Linked DNA regions of Macaca mulatta. The protein of the gene in region 1 binds, or shares a complex with, the protein of each later gene. Links are inferred from orthologs where the notes say so. Each region holds a gene or a part of one and is shown in the gene's direction. Other genes may lie near its edges.

Region 1 (7,700 bases):
GTGTGGACTGGGCCCCTTGGTTTATCTCAGTCTGTGTCTGGAGACTGTCCTCCCACAAAGTAGCTACGTCTCTACCTTCTTTCTTTGCATCTGAGGGACCAGGGGTTGGTAGGGAGGGTGAGCTTTGGGGCTCCGAGAGCTGCCCCAGCCTCCAAACTGGTCTGAGGAAGGTGGAGAGCAATGAGAGGCTTGGCTGAGGGAGGCATCTTTCGCAATCTCCCAGCAGCCATCCACCCGCAGACTCTGCAAGGACAGGGAAGGGAAGTCTGTGTGTGCGTGGGGGCGTGTGTTTCTGCATAGGGGTTGTCTGTGGACAGCGTTTCCGATCACTGGCCTGAGTGTGTGTGTGTGTGTGTGTGTGTGTGTGTGTGTGTGTGTTCCTGTGCTGTACTGGTGTGAGTGATGAAGTGAGACCACGTAGAAAGGGGCTGGGCCTGGCCAACCCCTGCCCCATAGCTGCCTGCTCCTCCTCTCAGACCTCTGTGAGGTCCTTGGTTGGGCTTTCTGCCCACCTTACCCATCCTGGGGCTTGGGACTGGCAACCATCTTCGGGGCAGCTGAGCAGGGCAGGACCGGGGCCACTGGTGCCTGCTTTCTGGGCTGCCATTGTGGGTGGGCCTAGCCATGGGAAGGGTGCTATGGGGGGTGGGACACAGTATCTAAGCTCTGGGCTGGACAGTCAGACAGTGGCCTTTGCTGACTTTTGCCCCACATTCTTTCAGGTCCCCCCCTCACGTGGATGTTTGCGGGTGCTGATATGCCCACTGTGTCACCGCCTTATCGCCTTGTGACTTCTGTCTCTGCTCTTGTCTGTCCTCCTTAGAGTCAGAGGACATAGGGAGAAGTGTGCCCCTGGGCCTTCCCTGGGGTCATGGGCTTGGGGTCTGCAGTGTCCCCTCTTCTGCAGAGGAGCCTGACCCATCTTCTGCCCCTCCTCCCTGCAGAGGGGGAAGTGAAAAGGAGGGGGGCCAGAGACCCTGCCTTCTGGGCCAGGAAGGCTAAAAAAAAGCAGAAGTAAGAAGAGTAACGGGGCCTTCTGGCCACCGGCCTGAGCCCCACCATGCAGACCCCGGCAGATTTCCCCAGAGTTGAGAGAGACTTGGTTCCCTGTCCCAGAAAGGTGAGCAGAAGAGTCGCCTGCCTCCAGCAGTGTCTGTCACCGTGACTGGGCAAGGAATGGGTTTGGGGGTGGCTCTGTCCCCTGGGGTTTCTGGGTGATTTCCTGCTTCTGTCCCCAGGGAGTGCTCTCAGTCAGAGGCAGACAGATGAGGTAGAGGCTCAGATCTCAGGGTGGGGTGTGCAGGTATTGCTGTGTGTCCTTGGCCCCCCCTCAGTCCCTCTTTGAGCCAGGCTTTTTGCCTGTCCTGCCAGGAGGTTACACTCGGGTCTGATTTGACTGCGGCTCTCTGGTGTTTTTGTGGGGCTGTTCCACCCACTCCTCCATCTGTCAGGGAGGGTTAGGTATCTTCCCCTGAAGACAAGATTGTGTCTCCGAGGGACAGGACCTATAGTGGGAGGTCCCAGGTGGACTCTAGTACTGAAGGAGAAGGGGGTTTGGGTAGACGGGTGGGCAGGACGTGGCTCTGGCTGATTTACCTGTCCACCCTTTCCTGGCATTTGATGCCTGCTGACCCCAGGCCAGGCAGTAAGCAGGGAGGCACCTGGGTCCAAGCTAGCTCTGCCACTGTTTGCTTTGAGCCTCGGTGAGTCACTGTCTTCTGAGCCTCAGTTCCCTGTTCCTGGAATGAGGATACCAGTTTTTAGGATATGATCAGAGTCAAAGACATCAGATTGCACTCAGGAGATAGTCCTCTCAGCCACTATCTGGGCCCTCCTCAGGTCCTGGCATAGGAGGAAAATCCTAGGGAAATGGAAAACCTCAGAGGTGGGTCTGTAAGAAATACCAGAGTCCTCTCCTGAATGGTGAGAGTTTGCAGATTGTATCCCCTCATCTCTTTCCCCACCCCAGGTACAGCAGCAAGAACCCACAGTTCCGCCCTTAACCCCTTCCTGGGGATCCCTGCCCTGCTGCCTGCCTGTGTATCTGCCAGGTGTCAGACCTATCTGCCCTAGGTATTGTCAGTCTGCTTGGGGCTCGTTGCCTCTCCTGCTGTCTCTCTTTGCTGCCTTCCTGTGTCTGTGGTTGGGTTCCAATCTCTCTCGCCACTTGATAAGTGCCTGACTTCACCTGTTGGGCACATGTCACATGTTAGGTGCCTGTTGTTCATGTCCCCTTCTGTCTCTGCCTGTTGGGTTTATGTCTTCATCTGTCTCTGCCTATTGGATACATGTCCCCTTCTGTCTCTGCCTATTGGATACCTGTCCCCTTCTGTCTCTGCCTGTTGGGTTTATGTCCCCTTCTGTCATTGCCTGTTGGGTTCGAGTCACCATCTGTCTCTGCCTGTTGGATACATGTCCCCCTCTGTCATTGCCTGTTGAGGTTTGTTTTTTTTTTTTCCCAAGGCAGTCTCGCTCTGTTGCCCAGGCTGGAGTGCCCTGACGCGATCTTGGCTCACTGCAACCTCTGCCTCCCGGGTTCACGCCATTCTCCAGCCTCATCCTCCCAAGTAGCTGAGACTATAGGCGCCTGCCACCACGCCTAGCTAATTTTTGTATTTTTAGTAGAGACAGGGTTTCACCATGTAGGCCAGGATGATCTCGATCTCCTGACCTCGTGATCCACCTGCCTTGGCCTCCCAAAGTGCTGGGATTACAGGCGTGAGCCACCGTGCCCAGCCTGCCTGTTGGGTTTATGTCCCCTTCTGTCATTGCCTGTTGGGTTGGAATTCTCTTCTGTCCCTGCCTATTGGAGATGTGTTCCTTCTGCCTTTGCCTGTTGGGTTCATGTCCTCATCTGTCTTTACCTATTAGGTACATGTCCCCTTCTGTCTCTGCCTGTTGGGCTTGTGCCCCATCTGTCTCTGCCTGTTGGGTTTGTATCCTTATCTGCCTACACACATTGGGGATGAGTCTCTGTCCACCTCTGTCTGTTAGATATGAGTCCCCTCCTGCTTCCCCTTATTGGGTACACATCTCCATCTGTTTTCTATTGGATATGAATTCCTCCTGCCTCTGCCTGTTGGGTGCGTGTCCTTATCCATCCCTGCCTGTTGGGTATGTGTTCTCTCCTGCTCCTGCCTGTTGGATGCCATTCTTCTTTTTTTTTTTTGAGACAGAGTCTCGCTCTGTTGCCCAGGCTGGAGTGCAGTGGCATGATCTCGGCTCACTGCAAGCTCCACCTCCCGAGTTCACACCATTCTCCTGCCTCAGCCTCCCGAGTAGCTGGGACTACAGGCGCCCGCCACCACACCCAGCTAATTTTTTGTATTTTTAGTAGAGACGGGGTTTCATTGTGTTAGCCAGGATGGTCTCGATCTCCTGACCTCATGATCCGCCTGCCTCGGCCTCCCAGAGTGCTAGGATTACAGACATGATGGATGCCATTCTCATCTGTTTCCACCTGTTGGGTGCCTGCTTCTGCCTGTTGAGTGTCTCTCTTCATCTGCCTCCACATATGAGGCACCTGTCTTTGCCTGTTGGTTACCTGTTTGCTGTTGGGTACCTCGCTGCTGTTGGGTACCTGTCTGCTCAGCAGCTGCACTGGCAGAGGGCTTTCCCTTTGCAGACCCACAGGGAGGATGGGGGAATGGCCAGAGGGCAGCCCTCGGGCACTGAGGAGTGGGGGAGAGAGAGGAAGGGAACGTGGTGAGGGTGTAGGCCTGGTGCTGGGAAACCACAGGCCCTGAGTGATTGGCTCCCTTGGGCCGGGCCCAGCCCCCGCCCTCACCCTGCACATCCGCCTTGGTCCCGGCCACCACCGCGGCAGCCCCGGACTCTGCCTGCTCCTGCCATGGTGCCGTGGCCCTGCTGGGCGGATGGAGCAGGATCCCAAGCCGCCCCGTCTGCGGCTCTGGGCCCTGCTCCCCTGGCTGCCCAGGAAGCAGCGGCCCAGGATCAGCCAGACCTCTCTGCCTGTCCCTGGCCCTGGCTCTGGCCCCCAGCGGGACTCGGTGAGTGTACCCAGATGTCTGGTCCTGGCCTGGCTGTGTCCCTCGCAGCAGGTGCCTGGGAAGCCAGCTTAGCGTAATCTGGCTTTGGGCTGTCCTGGCCCAGGCCTGGCCCTGCGGGGTGACTGGACCCTGCCCAGACTTGCTTCCTGGGTAAGTGAGGAGGTACTTCAGGGCTTCAAGGCAATGGCAGCAGATTAGAGGGAGGGTAGAGTCCTGGAATGGCTAGGACGTGGCAAGGGGCTTCTAGTAGGTTTGTATGAAGGAAGTTTGGGAAGATGAGCCATGCAGTCTCTGGCCTTAATTCTGACCTGCCCCAGGCCAGCACTTACCAAGTTGATGGGGGAGTTTGGGTGACTCTTGGGTCTTTGTGCACGTCAGCCCTGTCCTACTGACCAGAGGGATCCCCTCATCCCATCCTGACCAGGAACGAAGGCCCAGCTCTACCTCCCCATATGAGAACAAACCTACTTCCTATTGTGGCAACCCTAAAGCAGCAGGGGGAGGGAAGCCCCACAGGCAGACCTGGGGCAGGTCTCTGGGTCTCAACCGGAGCCTGAGGTTGACTCAGCCTGGCCATGCCTGGGCATCCCTTTGGGCCTAATCAGGCCAGAGCATCGGGAGCAATAGGAGTGGTGCCTCTTCTGTTTGACCTCCCCAGCCTTTGAGGCCCTTTTGAAATCAATGACCTTGGAGGCTGGCCCTTCAGGGAAGTCGTCTGTTGGGCCTTTAGGTCTCATCTGCTGAGGTCTGGTGGGAATGGCCTTGGGCAGGGGAACTCCTGCTGCCCGGATGGGGCCCACCATGCCCACCAGCTCTGTCCCTCCATCAGGATGAGGGCGTCCTCAAGGAGATCTCCATCACGCACCACGTCAAGGCTGGCTCTGAGAAGGCTGATCCATCCCATTTCGAGCTCCTCAAGGTTCTGGGCCAGGGATCGTTTGGCAAAGTGAGTCATGAGCCCGTGGCTGTGAAGGCAACCCTCGTCATGTTAGAGGTGGGGGTCAGTGGTCACCTAGGGGCCCAAAGGATCAGAGGTCACCTTGGTACCCAGGGAGAACAAAAAGACCAGCTTGGGGCTCAGAGAAGATGGAGGTCAGCCTGGGCGCAGACCTCTCCCATCTTCTGCCCTTGCTTCCCTCTCTGCCTTCTCAGGTCTTCCTGGTACGGAAAGTCACCCGGCCTGACAGCGGGCACCTGTATGCTATGAAGGTGCTGAAGAAGGCGACGCTGAAAGGTGAGTAGGGACACCTCCCTGTGCAGAACCCAGGCTGGGCTGAGGGAGGCAGCCCAGACTTCAGGGGCCTTGGGTCTGGCAAGGGAGACGGCTCTGTCTTCAGGAGCACCTAGTTCAAAGGTGGAGAAACAGGCCTATTTCTCAGCCATCTCTCCCCACCCAGTCCCCCTCCCCCTAAGCCAAGTGCCAATGACTGGCTGTGAAGGTCTGGAAGGTGGTAACAGGGTAAATGTAATATGTTTGTCAGAGGGCAGGGCCCTCAGCTACTTAGCTGGTTAAGCAGAGGCGTTCTGACTGTTGATGCTAGCAGAGTCTGAGGGAGACCTCTGTGGCCCCTAACTCAGGGGCCTGAGAGAAGGGTGTGAGTGAAGAGGCAGGGAGCCCAGGGAGGCAGCTGGGCCAGGCGAGAGAGGGTGAGTCCAGGCAGGGCCACAGAGCTGGATGGCAGAGAGGTTCAGAAGGGAACCCTGGGCCAAGATTAGAGTTCTGGGGACTTACAAAGGATATGAGATGGTTGGTAGTGGGTTTTGGGTTGAACACTGACCCCGTGGCCTGGGAGCCCGTGTGACCACTGACCTGGCGGAGTCGCAGCCAGGTGCCCTTCCTTGACCAAGTCTCCCTTTAAATAAAAGTCACGGCCGGGCGCGGGGGCTCACACCTGTAATCCCAGCACTGTGGGAGGCCAAGGCGGGTGGATCATTTGAGGTCAGGAGTTCAAGACCTGGCCAACATGTTGATACCCTGTCTCTACTAAAAGTACAAAGAAATGAGCTGGGTGTGGTGGTGCGCCCCTGTAATCCCAGTCAGAGCCAAGTCCTAGCTGGGGAGGTCGTGGGGGCAGTAGGAGGCGTCAGCCTTAAGGATGTTATGGGTGGCTTTGGTCTCCTAAGGCCAGCCTGGTGGGGGTGGGAGTCATCCCCCAGGAGGTATGGTGGCAGCTTCAGAGGGAGGAGAAAGTTGAAAAGCCTGGGTTCCTGCTGTGAAGGGCTTGCAGGCTGGGCCGGAGAGGCTAAGCATACCCGACAGTGCGGTGCAGCCGGTGCTGAGACTGGTGTGCGTGGATATCCGACGGGCTGGGGAGCTGGGAGTGGTGGTGCAGCCTTGCAGAGGGTGGGACCAGAGGCCAAGGGGACACCTAAGGAGCGGTAAGCCTTGAAGGACGAGTGGATTTCTCCAGACCAAAAATGGTCGAGGAAGAGACCCTGGGAAGGAGAAACTGTTTGCCTGACCTAAAGTACAGAGGTGGTTTGAAAATGTAAGGTAGGCTGGGCGCCATGGCTCATACCTGTAATCCTAGCACTTTGGAAGGCTGAGGCGAGTGGATCACTTGAGGTCAGGAGTTCGAGACCAGTCTGGCCAACATGGGAAAACCCCATCTCTACTAAAATACAAAAATTAGCTGGGTTTGCTGGTTTGCACCTGTAGTCCCAGCTACTCAGGAGGTTGAGGCACAAGAATCGCTTGAACCCAGGAGGTGGAGGTTGCAGCGAGTAAAGATCGCGGCACCATACTCCAGCCTAGGCGATGAGAGCAAAACTCCATCTCAAAAAAAAAAAAAAAAAAAAAACAAAGGAAAAAGAAAATGTAAGGTGACCAAAATAGTTAACTCTGGTGTGGTCCCTGTCGTGTCTAGTGAGGAAAATACAAAAATTAAAATAGAGGAAGGGGCCCACTGATGTGAAAAGTGCTCTGAAGGGAACCAGCTCTGTAGCCCTGTGTGCTGACACAGAAGGCGTGTTGGAAGGCAGCTGCAGCTTCTACTTGTAGCAAGGGCCGAGGATTGTGTCCCGAACAAGACTCTGGAAAGACGTGCAGGAGGAGCACATTGGCCAGATCTCCTAAGATAAGCAACTGTGAGCATCAATTCTAGAATGGCAGTGACGATTGAATAGAATTCATACTAGATGGATGGACTAGTGAAGGCTTTGGGACTATGAGGCTGGAGAGGAAACTGCCGATCCAGTACATGGACCAAAAAAGCCTTTAGTTTTGCACTGTGTGTATTGCTCAGACATTTTGTCTGGTCTTAGTAAGCATTCCTTAGCCTTCCACCTCTCCTTTTAATAGAAGTCAAGGCCAGGTGTGGTGGCTCACGCCTGCAATCCCAGCACTTCGGGAGGCCAAGGTGGGTGGATCATTTGAGGTCAGGAGTTCAAGACCAGCCTGGCCAACATGGTGAAACCCTGTCTCTACTAAAAATACAAAAAAAAAATGAGCCGGGTGTGGTGCGCCTGTAATCCCAGCTACTCGGGAGGCTGAGGCACAAGAATTACTTGAATCTGGGAGGCAGAGGTTGCAGTGAGCCAAGATCACACCACTGCACTCCAGCTTGAGTGACAGAGTGAGACCCTGTCTCATAAAAAACAAACAAAAAAACAAAGGCCACATGAGAGGTCTCAGTCAAGGGATAATCAATATTGTAATAAACTTAAGTTGAAACACAGTGCCCAAAATGA
Region 2 (6,914 bases), on another chromosome or scaffold:
GGTGTGATAAGCCTAAATCTGTTGGCCACAACCTCCCATACCATGCTAGCTCACACCTAAATGAGCAACAGTAGGCAGAAACTTGTTACATTTGGTGTCACTGTAGGATGGGCAAATGTTCCTGTGTTAAATGATGCTGAGAAAAATAGGTCTGGGCTGGAAGTCTCTGCAGAGGCCCTTTCGTTGTTCCCAGAAAGGCCACACACTCAGCAGACCTAAAACAGACTCTGCCAGGAACCCAGTGCTGGCTGGACAGCACCAGTGGTCTATTTCGGTAATAATCCTCCTGCTTGAGTGAACCAAAGACGGAGACACAACTTGATTTAATTTGTTGTTTCATTGAGGCTATTACAGCAAATATCCTTTAGCCAGCTACTCGAACAGAAAGAAAATATTGTTACCTTAGCGTGCTCAAGAAAATATTACTCTCAAATTGTGTTTATGGGAGTCCTGTGCTGTAGCTTAGCTCCATGTTCCCGGTGTTTTGCAGCTTAGCCTCAGCAATTATAATAAAAGCAGTGGATAGAAAGCACCCATTTACAGCCCTGGCACTGAGATAGCTCAAGTAAAAAGATCAGATTCGAACTCCTCTGACTTGTACTTACTGGTCATTTGGTTTCTTGTTTGTTGGTGCATTCATTCACTATACATTTTAAGTTTGTGGGTGAATCACTAAAAAGGGACATCTCTTCACCAACCTAAAATCTAAACATCCACCTTCTTCTTCCCTATTCCGTTGTACAAAACTGGAGAAGAAAAGAATTAAATTCTCAGGCCCGCACTTTCCTTCAGCCCCAAATCCAGTTAATTAAATAAGAAGGTATGCACTACAGCGTTTGAAAATCTCCTTTAGGATTCATTGCAACCGAATCGTATTTTTTTCTCTTTAAATAAAAGATACGTCATTTTATAGGTCATAAAACACCCTATGTATACATTAAAATATTAAGTAAGAATTAAATAGAAATAACCCTCTTTTACCTTAGTGAAGTAACAGAGTGGTATATAGAACGATTTCATATATAGTAAGTATTTTCTTATGGAAATTACATTTCTTTTAAAAAACAAGATATTCATTTTAAAGCCCTGGACCATTACTGGGCGTTGAAAGTAAAATACCAAGTTATTGGAAAATGAATTAATACTTTTAATGCTGAAATATCATAGGCAAATTCTAGAGTAAATCAGCGATTTTGGCAATGAGATATATGATTCATTAATATAGACTCTTTGTCATCACCATTGATCTTAAGGATTTGGAGGCCTGGCTGATTTTGGTAATAGTATTGAAATCCTAATAAACTTTGTACAGTCACCCCTCAGTATCTGCCGGGAATTGGTTTCAGGACACCTGCATCCCCCATCAAGGTTGTAAAAATCCATGGATGCTTAAATCCCTTGAAAATAGCATAATATTTGTGTGGAACACACACATACACACACACACACTCTCCTTCCTGTATTATTTGTTTGTTTGTTGTTTATGTATTTATTTATCTATTTGAGACAGCGTCTCACTCTGTCACCCAGGCTGGAGTGCACTGGGGCAGTCATGGCACACTGCAGTTTTAACCTCCCTGGCTCAAGCGATTCTCCCACCTCAGCTTCCTGAGTAGCTAGGACTATAGACACACACCACCACACCTGAACCATTTTTTATTTTTTGTAGAGACAAGGTCTCACTATGTTGCCCAGACTCAAATGCCTGGGCTCAAGCGATTCGCCGGCTTTGGCCTCCCAAAGTGCTGGGATTGCCACTGTAAGCTACCGCACCCACCTCCTCCTATATACTTTAAATCGTCTCTACACTGCTTATGACATCTAATACAATGCAAATGCCATGTAAATAGTTGTGATACTGTATTAGGAATAACGACAAGAAAAAAAAAATCTCTACGTATTCATCACAGCTAAAACCATTGTAGGTCTAACAAATTTTCTATCTGTGATTGGTTGAATCTAAGGATGCAGAACCCACAGATATGGAGGGCTGACTGTATGCAGAAATACTAGAATGTTTGAGAGTAATTTTTGGCAAAAATGATCTAACAAATTATTAGCATTGCTAGTCTTAATTATTTTAAGGAAGAAGAAAGTGACTTAAAGATAAATCAGAAAGTCTGTTTAAACCAAGCTGTTCTCTTTCATCCTCTAGTAGAGGAAACATCTGGTGACTTAACATGACTTCAGAATCCTTAGAGCCGGCTTCAGAGGTGGCTCTGACTTAGCCTGAGTTCTGTTCTTGGACATGGACACCTGCTTTGCAGTGTGGCACATCATACTTTTAATTTACTTAATTCCCCTTGCAAGAATACTGAGGAAAGCAGTTAATGCTGACTATTTGTAGTTAAGGATCATGGCTTGGGCTTGATTCGGAATTATCAAACAGTGATGAGTCCTTTGAAGAACTTTAGGGCTCAGTGACTATTCCCACTATTTACTTTATCCCCATGTCTTCTGTTATTTCACCTGTTCAGAGTATTTTGTTTCTTTGCCTATATTGAAAAGCTTCCATCTGATCAAGCACCACCATTCTTGTCTTGCAACTGTGTTCATCTTGGGGGTATCACTGCTTTTATCAGAAAAATAATCCATGTCTTTTTTCTCCCCTCTCTGCAGTTCCAGATTACCAGGAACAGGACATCTTCCTCTGGAGAAAAGAGACTGGATTTGGATTTAGGATTCTGGGTGGAAATGAACCAGGGGAACCTGTGAGTCTTTTGCTCGTCTCTCTCCCCGGCATATTTTTCTAAGGCTTCAAAGCAAATTGGCAACAGTGACAAATCACCAAGATTTGTCCAGCTAGATGCAACACTGACTCTTTCATCTTGAGTAGTATGGGTTTTTCATTGGATTTTGTGGAGCACTGTTTGTCTTGAGGAAGAAGAGACTAGATTCTTTCTAAAAAGTTTGTATGCGTGTTTGTGAAAAGTGGCAGCTGCAGCCTCTGTAGACCACCCCTTTCCCCCAAGGGAGACAAAAACAGAAAGCAAAACAGGATAATCATCACCTGATGTAACAGTAGCCTGGTCCTTCTGGCCAGGTCCCTTCACTCTGCCAGCAGGTACTGGGCTTTGTGTGTTGAGTTGCTGGTGTGCAGAGAGTATTTCACAAAGCCTTATGGGACAGTGATTGGAGAATGTCAGAACCCTGCCTTTACAAAACTTGAGAAAGAACCCTGAGTAAGGGTCAAGAAACGTTGAACTTCCCTGGATCTCAGTGACCTCCATTTTGGAATAAATTTAGAATAACATAACAGGGTTCTTTTGAAGGAAGAAAAGAAAACTAAAATAGGTATTGTTAATTTCCTTGTGATAATAATAGCCATTATTCATCGAGCGCTTACTATGTGCCAGGTTCTGTGCTAAAGGCTCTTAACATACATTCTCTCATTTATCCATCAAACCCACCAGTTTATCCCGTTTTCACATTGAGAAAAAGAAAAGCTAATTAACTTGCCCAAGATTACGGAGCTACCAAACGGAGGGACTGACAAATAAGGTCTGACTCGAATCCATGTTCTTAGCAACTATTTTGTCAAAGTTCTTTGCAAACTGTAAATGCCATGTAAAGGTAACTATAGCATTATTGTCTGCTGGAAAGGCAAGGTAGGCACAAGTATTTTAGCTAAGGTTTAGTGAATGGCAAATATAACAGTAAGACATTAACTATAAAGAATGCTCTGCTTTCAGGTGCTAAAAGACTTCGAAAATGGAGATGTCCAACTAATTTTTGCTTCATTCATTCATTTAAGAGTATTTATTACATATTCCCTATTCCTAGGCATGATGCTAGACTCTTAAATAAAAGTAATATTAAAATTTTATTAGCAGAGTTGTATGGAAAGAGAGTTTTTAGGTAGGTAGGAAAGAAGAATAGGTTGTACAATGAAGGGAGAAAAGTGATTTATATCTACAGCGGAGAAAAAGAAAGAGTGAGTTGTCAGTAGGCCACAGATAAACAGCTGGAAACTAAGCAAGAAATATTCTTTCCACCATTTAATAATTGTGACAATACTTAGCACAATGTCTTGTACACAGTGGGTGCTCAATAAATGTTTGTGGCATGCCTGCAGACATGAATGAATGAATTGTTCCCAGAGATGTGAAGGCCATTGATGTCACAGTAAATGTAGGAGAGAAGTGTTTCATCCATCGTTCAATTATTCAACAGATTTATATTGGTCACATTGTACCACTGGGTGCTGCTGATACCGACGGCCGCCTGAGGTCTGGAGATGAATTAATCTGTGTGGATGGGACGCCAGTAATTGGAAAATCACACCAGCTTGTGGTCCAGCTTATGCAACAAGCTGCCAAACAAGGCCACGTCAATCTCACAGTGCGGCGTAAAGTGGTTTTTGCGGGTATGTATTTCATTCATTCGTTCAGACAGTGCGTTGTCACTTGATTCACAGAAAAGGCCTCCTTCCTGTGTCTGCCTCCTTGAGCATCTATTTTAGCAAATGTTTGCAAATGTGATCAAGCTCAGAATTTCCAGATGGCTTGCTTCTCTCAAACCCTGCAAAAATTACTGTCATTCTAAAGTACTTTAATGTGCCGTTTGCATATGTTCAACAAAGTCTTCCAGAGGAAGGCTTGTTGAATATATATTACTTCCCTTCTATCTCCTTGCAAATCAGAACTTAGCCATCCTCTTCATTTGATGATAATCCTCAACAAATGAGGTCATTATGAAAGTCAGAAGAGTTGTAGCTTCATATCAAGAGAACAAAAATTGGGTTTGTGCTACAAAATAAGCTCATAAAAAAGTTACTGATTTCTTACTGTCCTATGTATTAAACCAAGATTTTTTTTTCTTTCTACAAGAAAGTTGTAGAGCCAGCCAGTTCTAGGTCAGCTTTGATTCCTTCTTCCTGCCCATAAGCTTTGAACTTTAATTCTCAAAATACTACATATCCTTTCAGGCTCAGCACAAATATAACCTTCTTCCCTCGGAAATTCCTCCTTCCTCCGACTACCTTCAGATTTTAGCATTCCCTCCTTGCCATTCTAGTGACTCATGGTTTACTTCCACATCCGAATCTGCCATTTTGAGACAGTGAATTGTGTGTCTGTCCTTTCCCTTGACCTACCAGCTTCCTGAAAGCTCACGTTGAATACACCTTGTTGTTCACCTTTGGATGCAGCTCCCACTTTGAAACCTTTGAGACAGAACCCAGAATACAGCAGAAGTGATTGTCTTCTATCAGTTGAATTACTGGAGAAATATGACCTGAAATATTATGAATTCTTGTGGCATTAATATTAGTGAAACAGATACCTGCCAGATCAAATTAATTGGTACCTTGTTTTTTTTTTTAAAAAAAAGTATAACCCATTTTAAATGGTATATGATTAATTATAGAATTAAGATGTTAAATTCCAGTGTGAGAGTCCTACCTCCTGCATCCATGGAAAACAGTGTTAATCTGCTGTAGGTTATGTCCCTAGAGCTTGTTTGTGGCCTCACAATCCTTCTTAACATAGTATTCCATGCAGCTAAAAGCAGTCAGTTAGAACTGGTTTTTGAGATGAGATGAAAACTATCTGGCTTCCCTGGCCCAAATAGAAATAGTAAGGCAATGTGATATTTTGTGTTTCAGGTTTATTTTTTTAAATATTAAATATTTTGGATTTTTAGCTCTGTGTAAAAGGCGTGTCAAAACTATGAAGAGACATTATGCAAAGCGAACTAGTCACAAAAGGAGAAATATTGATTCCCTTTATATGAGGTACCTAGGGTAGTCAAATTTATAGAGACAGAAAGCAGAATGATGGTCGGTGGGGAATGGAGGAAATGGGAAGGGGAATTAGTTTTTAATGAGTACAGAGTTTCAATTTGGGAAAACGACAAAATTCTGGAGATGGATGATGATGATGGTTGTATAAAAATGTGAATGCAGTTAATACCACTCAACTATATGCTTAAAAATGGTTTAAAATTTTGTTATGCTTATTTTTCCACAATTAAAACAATCTATGAAAAGAGAAGCTTTTGAAAATAAATACAGTCTGATCCAAAACTTGGACACAACACACATTTTGTTTTTGGCATAGTTGGTTCCACCTACTGTGTTGGCTGTTTAGGAGCGCTTTAGTAACACTAGCACGGTGACTAAATTCAGAAGGAGGCCAGTGTATCCGGTTCTGTGATCAGAGTAGATGTTGACACCTGGAAGCTAAGAAGAGAAGCATATGTGTCTCACAGGTGTTGTCATGAACCCCACATAGGACAGGTAGCCTCAACGTTACCGTCACCTTACTGTTCGTTGCCTGATGGAAAAAGCTGAGTGGAAATGTGATTGGAAAGTAATGACAATATGAACGTGCATCCAAGGTTCTATCTATGAAGCCAAAATGGTGGTCTTCGCGGATGTAGCCCTCACCTACGCTTAGGCCCATCCCTTTGTGCAGTGGGGAAATATTTCACAGCAGGTTGATCTTGCTGCAAACTTGATTCTGAGTGTGGATGTCGACATATAGCATGCTATAAAATAACGAACGCTATTTGCGAGTCCCATTTGGTGTTAAGTAGGATCAATGTTCGTAGATACTGAATGGTTAATATTTGTCAAGAGAAGCTGCTTTCAATCCGTATATCCAGGTTTTGTGAAACCAGGTGCTGTCTCCTCCCCTCGGTTCATGTTTTGATTTCTTGAGGGAGTTGCGGGAAGGAGGGATGGGCAGCAGGATGGAGGGGCTGCCGGACACGGTAATGTACGCGTGCATCTCTGTTACAGTACCCAAAACCGAGAACGAGGTGCCCTCGCCAGCCTCCTCTCATCACAGTAGCAACCAGCCAGCCTCGCTGACGGAAGAGAAGCGCACCCCGCAGGGCAGCCAGAATTCGCTGAACACGGTGAGCTCGGGCAGCGGCAGCACCAGCGGCATCGGCAGCGGCGGCGGCGGGGG
Region 3 (6,914 bases), on another chromosome or scaffold:
TGATAACACAACATCTGACACATGAGATTCAATCAGTAATTTTTACTGAGCAAGTGAACTGGGGATTATGTAGGTATCTGTATGGCCTAAGTTCAGTTGGTCATGCCACTCCTCAATGCTGTGGTAACTCTTTTATTGCAGCAGTGCTTTGGCTTATAGATAAACCCAGTTCTGTAAATATTCTGGCTGAACAAAGTGCTTCAGGTCAGTCCAGGAGTTCTCATGTTAAATAGTTTGGTTCATTTACAACAGAAGTAGCGACAGGTTAAAAATGTACCTATATAATATGACTTCGATGGGGTGTGTAGTAGAGGCCCTTGTTTGTTTATGGTAAATCTCAGTAAAATTTCTTCTACTCTTCCTTTTCTTATGCAGTTAACTTTGAATAACCAGTAGCAAAGTCCTTTCTCTTGCTAACTACTATATTGCATTCAGCTGCTTAACATTTGTTTCCTGTTCCCAAGATCACCAGAGGCACCTGTAGTGTTTGATGAGGATGTTGGATTTCATAGAAAGATTTTCTCTACATAGTTTGTTCTAGCTTGGGAGAGCTGGGTTGGCCTTGGCCCACTTGTTCAAAGCTGTCACAGTTTTTAAGTCGTTTAAAAACCTTCAATAATCTTGTTCCATCTACTTTTCCACTTTATCTCAAATTTCTGTACCTTCTCCAATACTTCTCACCTCTATGATACAAATTGAGGGTGCTGTGCTCCAAGAAAATCATTTAGTAAGTTAAGCTACTATTTTTAATACCCAGCCCTTCAAGGAAGTTAAAATAGCATCTTCCAGAAGTAGCACTTTCTTATTTAATTTATTTAGAGAAACAGGGTCTTGCTGTGTTGCCCAGCCAGGTCACAAACTCCAGAAGTAGCACTTTCTATGATGTATCTTTTTATTTTATTATTTTAGAGAATAAATTCTTTTTATTCTGTAGCTGCAGAGATTTTATGCACAACGTATGCTTTTTATTTATTTTATTTTATTTTTGAGATGAGGTCTCACTCTGTCACCCTGGCCGGAGTGCAGTGACACAGTCTTGGCTCACTGCAATCTCTGCCTCCCAGGCTCAAGCAGTCCTCCCACCTCAGCCTCCTAAGGTTGGTCATGTGCCACCACGCCTGTCTAATTTTTTGTATTTTTGGTAGAGATGGGGTTTCACCACGTTGCCCAGGCTGGTCTCAAATTCCTGAGCTCAAGTGATCCACCCACCTTGGCCTTCCAAAGTGCTGGGATTATAGGTGTGAGCCACCGTGCCTGGCTAAGGTATGCTTTTTAAATTAAATGTTTCCTGTTGAGTCTTTGTTTGGTCATGTTTTTCTTTAAATCACAAATTGATTTGCTAGTGCTTATGTTAATACTGTGAGCTTCAGGTGTAAGCTTTTCTCCCACCAATGGGAAGAACTTTCAGAAAGCCCACATATGTCTCTTTTTATTTTTGTTTTTGAGACGGAATCTTGCTCTGTTGCCCAGGCTGGAGTGCAGTGGTGCGATCTCTGCTCACTGCAAGCTCCGCCTCCCAGGTTCATGCCATTCTCCTGCCTCAGCCTCCCGAGTGTCTGGGACTACAGGCACCTGCCACCATGCCCAGCTAATTTTTTGTATTTTTAGTAGAGACAGGGTTTCACCGTGTTAGCCAGGATGGTCTCGTTGCGATCCGCTTTCCTCAGCTGGGATTACAGACGTGAGCCACCGCCCCGCCCCCTCCCCGCCCCGCATATGTCTCTTTAAGTATCTTTTCTATTGTGACCAGTGTAGGCTGGTGATTATGGTTATTCCTTCCAATTGCACCACCAGATTTTTGGTTCTTGTTTCCAAACTATCTCCTTTCTCTTACACTATGGCCCTGAATTCTACCAGTAGCTGACATTAAGAACCCTAGGGAAGTTCCTTTTTCCTTTTTTTTTTTTAAGCATAGGTAAAATCCCTTCATAACAATGGTTTCTGTACAGTGAAATCCTTTCTAGCACTTAGTTGTTGGTCCATGGAAATAGCACTTTGATACTCAGTTTTCTTTCCTTCTCTTTTTTCTTTTTAAAAATATTTTATTTTACTGTGGTAGGAACACTTAACGTGAGATCTACTCTGAACAGATTTTTCAGTGTACAATATAGTATTATCTATAGGCCAGTGTTGTACAGCAGATCTCTAGAACTTGATTCATCTTGCATAACTAAAATTATATGTGTTTAAAATAGTCAAACTCATAAAAACAAATATTAGAATGGTGGTTTCCAAGGACTTAGGGAAGAAGAACTGGGGAGTTGCTAATCAATGAGTAGTCAGTTTTTTCTACAGTGAATAAAACTTGTCAATTACTATACCCAAATATAGATTGAGTAGCCCAAATCCAAAAATCTGAAGTCTGAAATGCTTCCAACTCCAAAACTTTTTTTTTTTTTTTTGAGATGGAGTCTTGCTCTATCACCCATGCTGGAGTGCAGTGGCGCGATCTCGGCTCACTGCACCAACTCCAAAACTTTCTAAGGGCCAACATGATGTTCAAAGCAAATGCTCATTGAAGCATTTCAGATTTCAGATTTTTGGATTAGGGATGTTCACCTGGTAAGTTTAATTCAAATGTTCCAAAATCCCCCAGATTCAAAATTCAAAACACATTTGGTCCTAAGCATTTTGGATAAGGGATACTCAACCTATATATGGTTGTACTTGAAGTAGCAAAGGAAGGGAAGGTAAATTTGGTGATTTAGTCCTACCATGAAACAGCAGTTACCTTTCTGGTTCTGAGGTTTCTCTGCCAATACCTACACCACTGCCTCCACCAACCAAAATAGAAAGAAAAAAAAAAATGAAACTCTCAAGAGATTTTTCCAAAGCACTATCATACATAAATTCTCCAGAAGCTTGGGAGAAGGAAAGTGTGGAAGGGAAGGTATGGTTAGGAATCTCTCACACTAAATTAGGAACAGTTCATTTGATAATTGGTAAAAATGCATAGCTTCTTCTCATGAACACAACTAACCCTGCTGTGGTAATATCAGGAATGTCAGGAATTGGGTCCTTTGAATACCATCAACAGGATCAAAATTAAATGTGAGTAGAAGAATTTACATGTAGGCTGGGCATGGTGGCTCACACCTGTAATCCTAGAACTTTGGGAGGCCAAGGCAGTAGTGATTGCTTGAGGCCAGGAGTTCATAACCAGCCTGGGAAACTGAGTTATGAACTCCTGAGTAGCTGGGATTACAGGCGCCCGCCACTATGCCCCCTAGCAAGACTGTCTCAAAAAAAAAAAAGAAAAAGAAAAAAAAGAAAGAACTTAGAGTAATCACCATTACTCTTTAAGTTCTATATATATCTTTCTTTATATATTCAACAAAACAGGTGAATCACTGTGTTTATATTTTCAGTTGTGCCTCATTTGAGTGAGCAACTCAATACTCTTGATACTGCTGACCTTGTTCATGACCATTCACCAGCTCCATCACAGCCTGACTCGCCAGCGTCTCCTCTCCATCAGCCTTTCCTGCCCAGTAGGCTTTTCCTCCCTTTCTCTTCATCTTCTCTAATCCCTTTCTTTCTTCTTCACCCCCATCTTTTTACTCCTCCATGATTTTCTCAGGGCTGGGCTTCAACATCGTCGGTGGGACAGATCAGCAGTATGTCTCCAACGACAGTGGCATCTACGTCAGCCGCATCAAAGAAAATGGGGCTGCGGCCCTGGATGGGCGGCTCCAGGAGGGTGATAAGATACTTTCGGTGAGAATGGGCTTCGGCCTCCTTCACTGTCCTTTGCTCCCTAAGCCCTAGGTCCTACCCCTATCCCTTTCCTTGGAAAGATTTGGGTCTGGAAATATACAGATTATAGAGCTGAATGGGAGCAACTCTGATCAGTCATTCTTTCCAACCCTATCATTGAGCATGGAGGGCAATATTATGCTCACCTGATAAATGAGAATGTGAAGCCCAGAATGTGAAGTTACTTGTTCAAAAAGCACGAGGCAGGAAGCAGCGAGGGACTCATACGGGGAAAAGAGATATAAAATCCACAAATTTTGTCTTTCATCCATCATTGCCTCCTTTTGTTGATTAAAACACTAATGTGTATCTTCCTTTGGGGGAATGTCAGCCCTTATAATTGGATTTAACTTCAAAAAACAGAAAGAAGGAAGGTTGGAATTAAGTGTCCTTTTCAGACTCAGAGCCCTTTTTCACCCATTATTAACATGAAAATTTGGAATGCAGTTGATTTGGGTATCTGTCCACTGTGTTCCCATTTCATCCTGCTAATGTCTCTACCAAGACTTACTACATGGAAATTATTAATCTTATTCTTTTCTAGAATTTCCTCAAGGGGAGTGACAAGATCCTTTTTTTTTTTTTTTTTTTTGAGATGGAGTCTCGCTCTGTCACCCAGGCTGGAGTGCAGTGTCATGATCTTGGCTCACTGCAACCTTTGCCTCCCGGGTTCAAGTGATTCTCCTGCCTCAGCCTCCTGAGTAGCTGGGACTACAGGTGCCTGCCACTATGCCCAGTTAATTTTTTGTATTTTTAATAGAGATGGGGTTTCACCATGTTGGCCAGGCTGGTCTCGAACTCCTGACCTCATGATTCGCCCTCCTCGGCCTCCCAAAGTGCTGGGATTAGAGGCGTGAGCCACCGGGCCTGGCCTAAGATCTTTTTTTTAACATGTTGAATCATAGCGCAATGTTTAATAATGTTTAAGAAATGAACAAGTTAAGAAATTCAGGCAAACCTAAAAAGACTAGCTGATAAATACGGGCCCACAGACCTCAGGTCTTAAAATAAATTAGAACAAGCCTACAGTAAAAACTATTAAAATGCAAAATATAACTCTGGCCCTATTGTTCATTTCTCCACATTACCATAGGTCACAGTAATCCTATGATACTATCAGTTGCTGGGGGATAAGGAGGTGTAGATTGGAGATAATTATTCTGTAGAATTTCTTTTTTTATTAACTTTCAGGACTAGTGAAAAATGGCCAACTTATTACTCGTATGGAAACAGTACAGATGGTTGGTATAAAGAATGGAAAAATGCTGAGGGTGTGAGATATTATCTAGAATATTCTTGGGAGAGCTGGCTTCAAAGGGCTAGACTTAAATAAAAGGAAATTGAAATAGGATAGGGCTTCTCATAGGAGAAGCTCCTAAGCAGAAGCTCCTGTCTTCTCCAGATGGGCCATAAGCCCACGGTCTGAAGAGGAGAAAACTATTCCCTGTTTTCTTTTAGAACTGAATAGGGCAGGATGGCCAGGTTGGGAAAAGATTGAAATAAATGAATGAAGTATAGACAGGAGAAGTCTTGATTGACAGAATTAAGTATTAGTCTCAGAGACATGATTTTGAACCTACCTCTATAATAAGTTAGCTTCATCCCTTAAATTTTTTTTGCTATATAGTTTCATTTGAATTTCACTTCACTTTTCATGCAGTTCAGGTGATTAGTGATTACAGGTCATACGTGTGAAATCTCTTGCTCTTCTTAGTTGCCAGCTTACTGAACACTTCTCTGCCATGCAGCCCATTTGGTAGTAGTACCTGAAGGCAGAGATACAAAGGAAAAGAGAAAGAACATCCATCTTCTCTTCATTTGGCATCTGAGTATTTGAGTGATCAGGCTCAGCAGTATGGATCTGAATGCCTCTTCAGGAAGACCGTGACTCCACTTAGTCCCCAAAAAAGAAAGAAAATCAGAACAAGTAGCTATTAGAGCCACCTAAATTAGCTCAAGAATGTCTAAGCATGTGTCCTCGCTGATCTATAATATAAATATAGTATCAAGCACCACAGTATTTCAGTCCTTCTCATTGACTGTTTTGCCTCTCTTCCATCCGTTAAGCTTCTCCTAGACCCTATTTATTAATCTGTGAGATGGAGACAGTGATAATATACTGTCTTCTCAAAAGGATAGTGAAAAGTTTAGAAGCAGATTATTTCCTTTAGCTCCCAGGGAAAGACATTCATCCAATATGAATCAACTTGGCAGTGGTACTGTAAGGAAATGCTGAGAGTGGGTTGTTAAAATAAAGGTGTAGCATGTAGTTAGAATCTATGCAGCTTAATATTTTGACACATAAATTACATTATCCTCAGAACACTGGAATCTGGGCTCTGTGGATGAAGAATAGGAGTTAAGAAGAGAAAGAAGAGAGCTATATTATTTTAAAAGCTTTGGTTAAAGGTAGATTATTGCAAAATGAGAATGGTGAGAACTATTTGAGCACTAAATGTCAGGTAACATGCTGAGAACTTGAAATTTATTTTGTTTAATATTATAGTAACCCTATGAGGTGGGCATGATTATTGTGCCCAAGCCATTTGCCCAAAGTCACACAACTAGTAAGCAGCAAGGGACTCAAAGTTTGTTTGAGTCTGAATTTGTAGCCTTTGTTTTTAACCACTATGTTATACTGCCTCCTAAAAGGTAAATGAGGAGCTAAGGTTAGTTATCCTAAAGACAAAGTTACATGGTGAATTAACAGTAGATTGCATGGATGGTTTTATATAAAAACTGAAATTAGGCCAGGTACGGTGGCTCATGCCTGTAATCCCAGCACTTTGGGAGGCCAACGGGGGTGGATCACTTGAGGCCAGGAGTTCGAGACCTGCCTGGCCAACATGGCAAAACCCCGTCTCTACTAAAAATATATATAAATACGAAAAATTAGCTGGGCATGGTGGCATATGCCTTGGTGCATGCGCCTGTAGTCCCCCAGCTACTCAGGAGGCTGAGGCACGAGAATTGCTTGAACCTGGGAGGCGGAGGTTGCAGTGAGCTGAGATCATGCCAGTGCACTCCAACCTGGGCGACAGAGTGAGACTGTATCTCAAAATAAATAAAATAAAATAAAATAAAATAAAATAAAATAAAAACTGAAATTCATCTTTCTATAAATGGTAGAATCAGAAATAAGGAAATAAACCTCAATG

What was found.
Region 2: the proteins of RPS6KA1 (region 1) and MAGI1 are in contact, whole or in part, in a crystal structure (PDB 5N7F), measured with the Homo sapiens proteins. The link is inferred for Macaca mulatta from reciprocal best matches to the Homo sapiens genes RPS6KA1 and MAGI1. Residues at the interface, in NP_002944.2 of Homo sapiens: Pro731, Ser732, Thr733, Thr734, Leu735; in NP_001028229.1 of Homo sapiens: Arg480, Gly481, Phe482, Gly483, Phe484, Thr485, Val486, Val487, Gly488, Asp490, Lys499, Ser500, His532, Val536, Phe539, Gln540.
Region 3: the proteins of RPS6KA1 (region 1) and SYNJ2BP are in contact, whole or in part, in a crystal structure (PDB 7P74), measured with the Homo sapiens proteins. The link is inferred for Macaca mulatta from reciprocal best matches to the Homo sapiens genes RPS6KA1 and SYNJ2BP. Residues at the interface, in NP_002944.2 of Homo sapiens: Pro731, Ser732, Thr733, Thr734, Leu735; in NP_060843.2 of Homo sapiens: Arg18, Gly22, Leu23, Gly24, Phe25, Asn26, Ile27, Val28, Gln33, Ser45, Arg46, His78, Val82, Phe85, Arg86.

Annotation. Positions count from the first base shown.
Region 1 is NC_133406.1:214,440,063-214,447,762, reverse strand, and holds the start of RPS6KA1 (ribosomal protein S6 kinase alpha-1), read left to right. Parts: upstream 1-2,808; 5' UTR 2,809-3,875; coding exon 3,876-4,010; intron 4,011-4,839; coding exon 4,840-4,956; intron 4,957-5,162; coding exon 5,163-5,244; intron 5,245-7,700. UniProt on the Homo sapiens protein: Serine/threonine-protein kinase that acts downstream of ERK (MAPK1/ERK2 and MAPK3/ERK1) signaling and mediates mitogenic and stress-induced activation of the transcription factors CREB1, ETV1/ER81 and NR4A1/NUR77, regulates translation through RPS6 and EIF4B phosphorylation, and mediates cellular proliferation, survival, and differentiation by modulating mTOR signaling and repressing pro-apoptotic function of BAD and DAPK1.
Region 2 is NC_133407.1:128,930,675-128,937,588, reverse strand, and holds part of MAGI1 (membrane-associated guanylate kinase, WW and PDZ domain-containing protein 1), read left to right. Parts: intron 1-2,619; coding exon 2,620-2,711; intron 2,712-4,173; coding exon 4,174-4,366; intron 4,367-6,742; coding exon 6,743-6,914. UniProt on the Homo sapiens protein: Plays a role in coupling actin fibers to cell junctions in endothelial cells, via its interaction with AMOTL2 and CDH5. May regulate acid-induced ASIC3 currents by modulating its expression at the cell surface.
Region 3 is NC_133412.1:143,542,519-143,549,432, reverse strand, and holds part of SYNJ2BP (synaptojanin-2-binding protein), read left to right. Parts: intron 1-2,365; exon of another isoform or gene 2,366-2,912; intron 2,913-3,094; exon of another isoform or gene 3,095-3,285; intron 3,286-3,580; coding exon 3,581-3,717; intron 3,718-6,914. UniProt on the Homo sapiens protein: Regulates endocytosis of activin type 2 receptor kinases through the Ral/RALBP1-dependent pathway and may be involved in suppression of activin-induced signal transduction.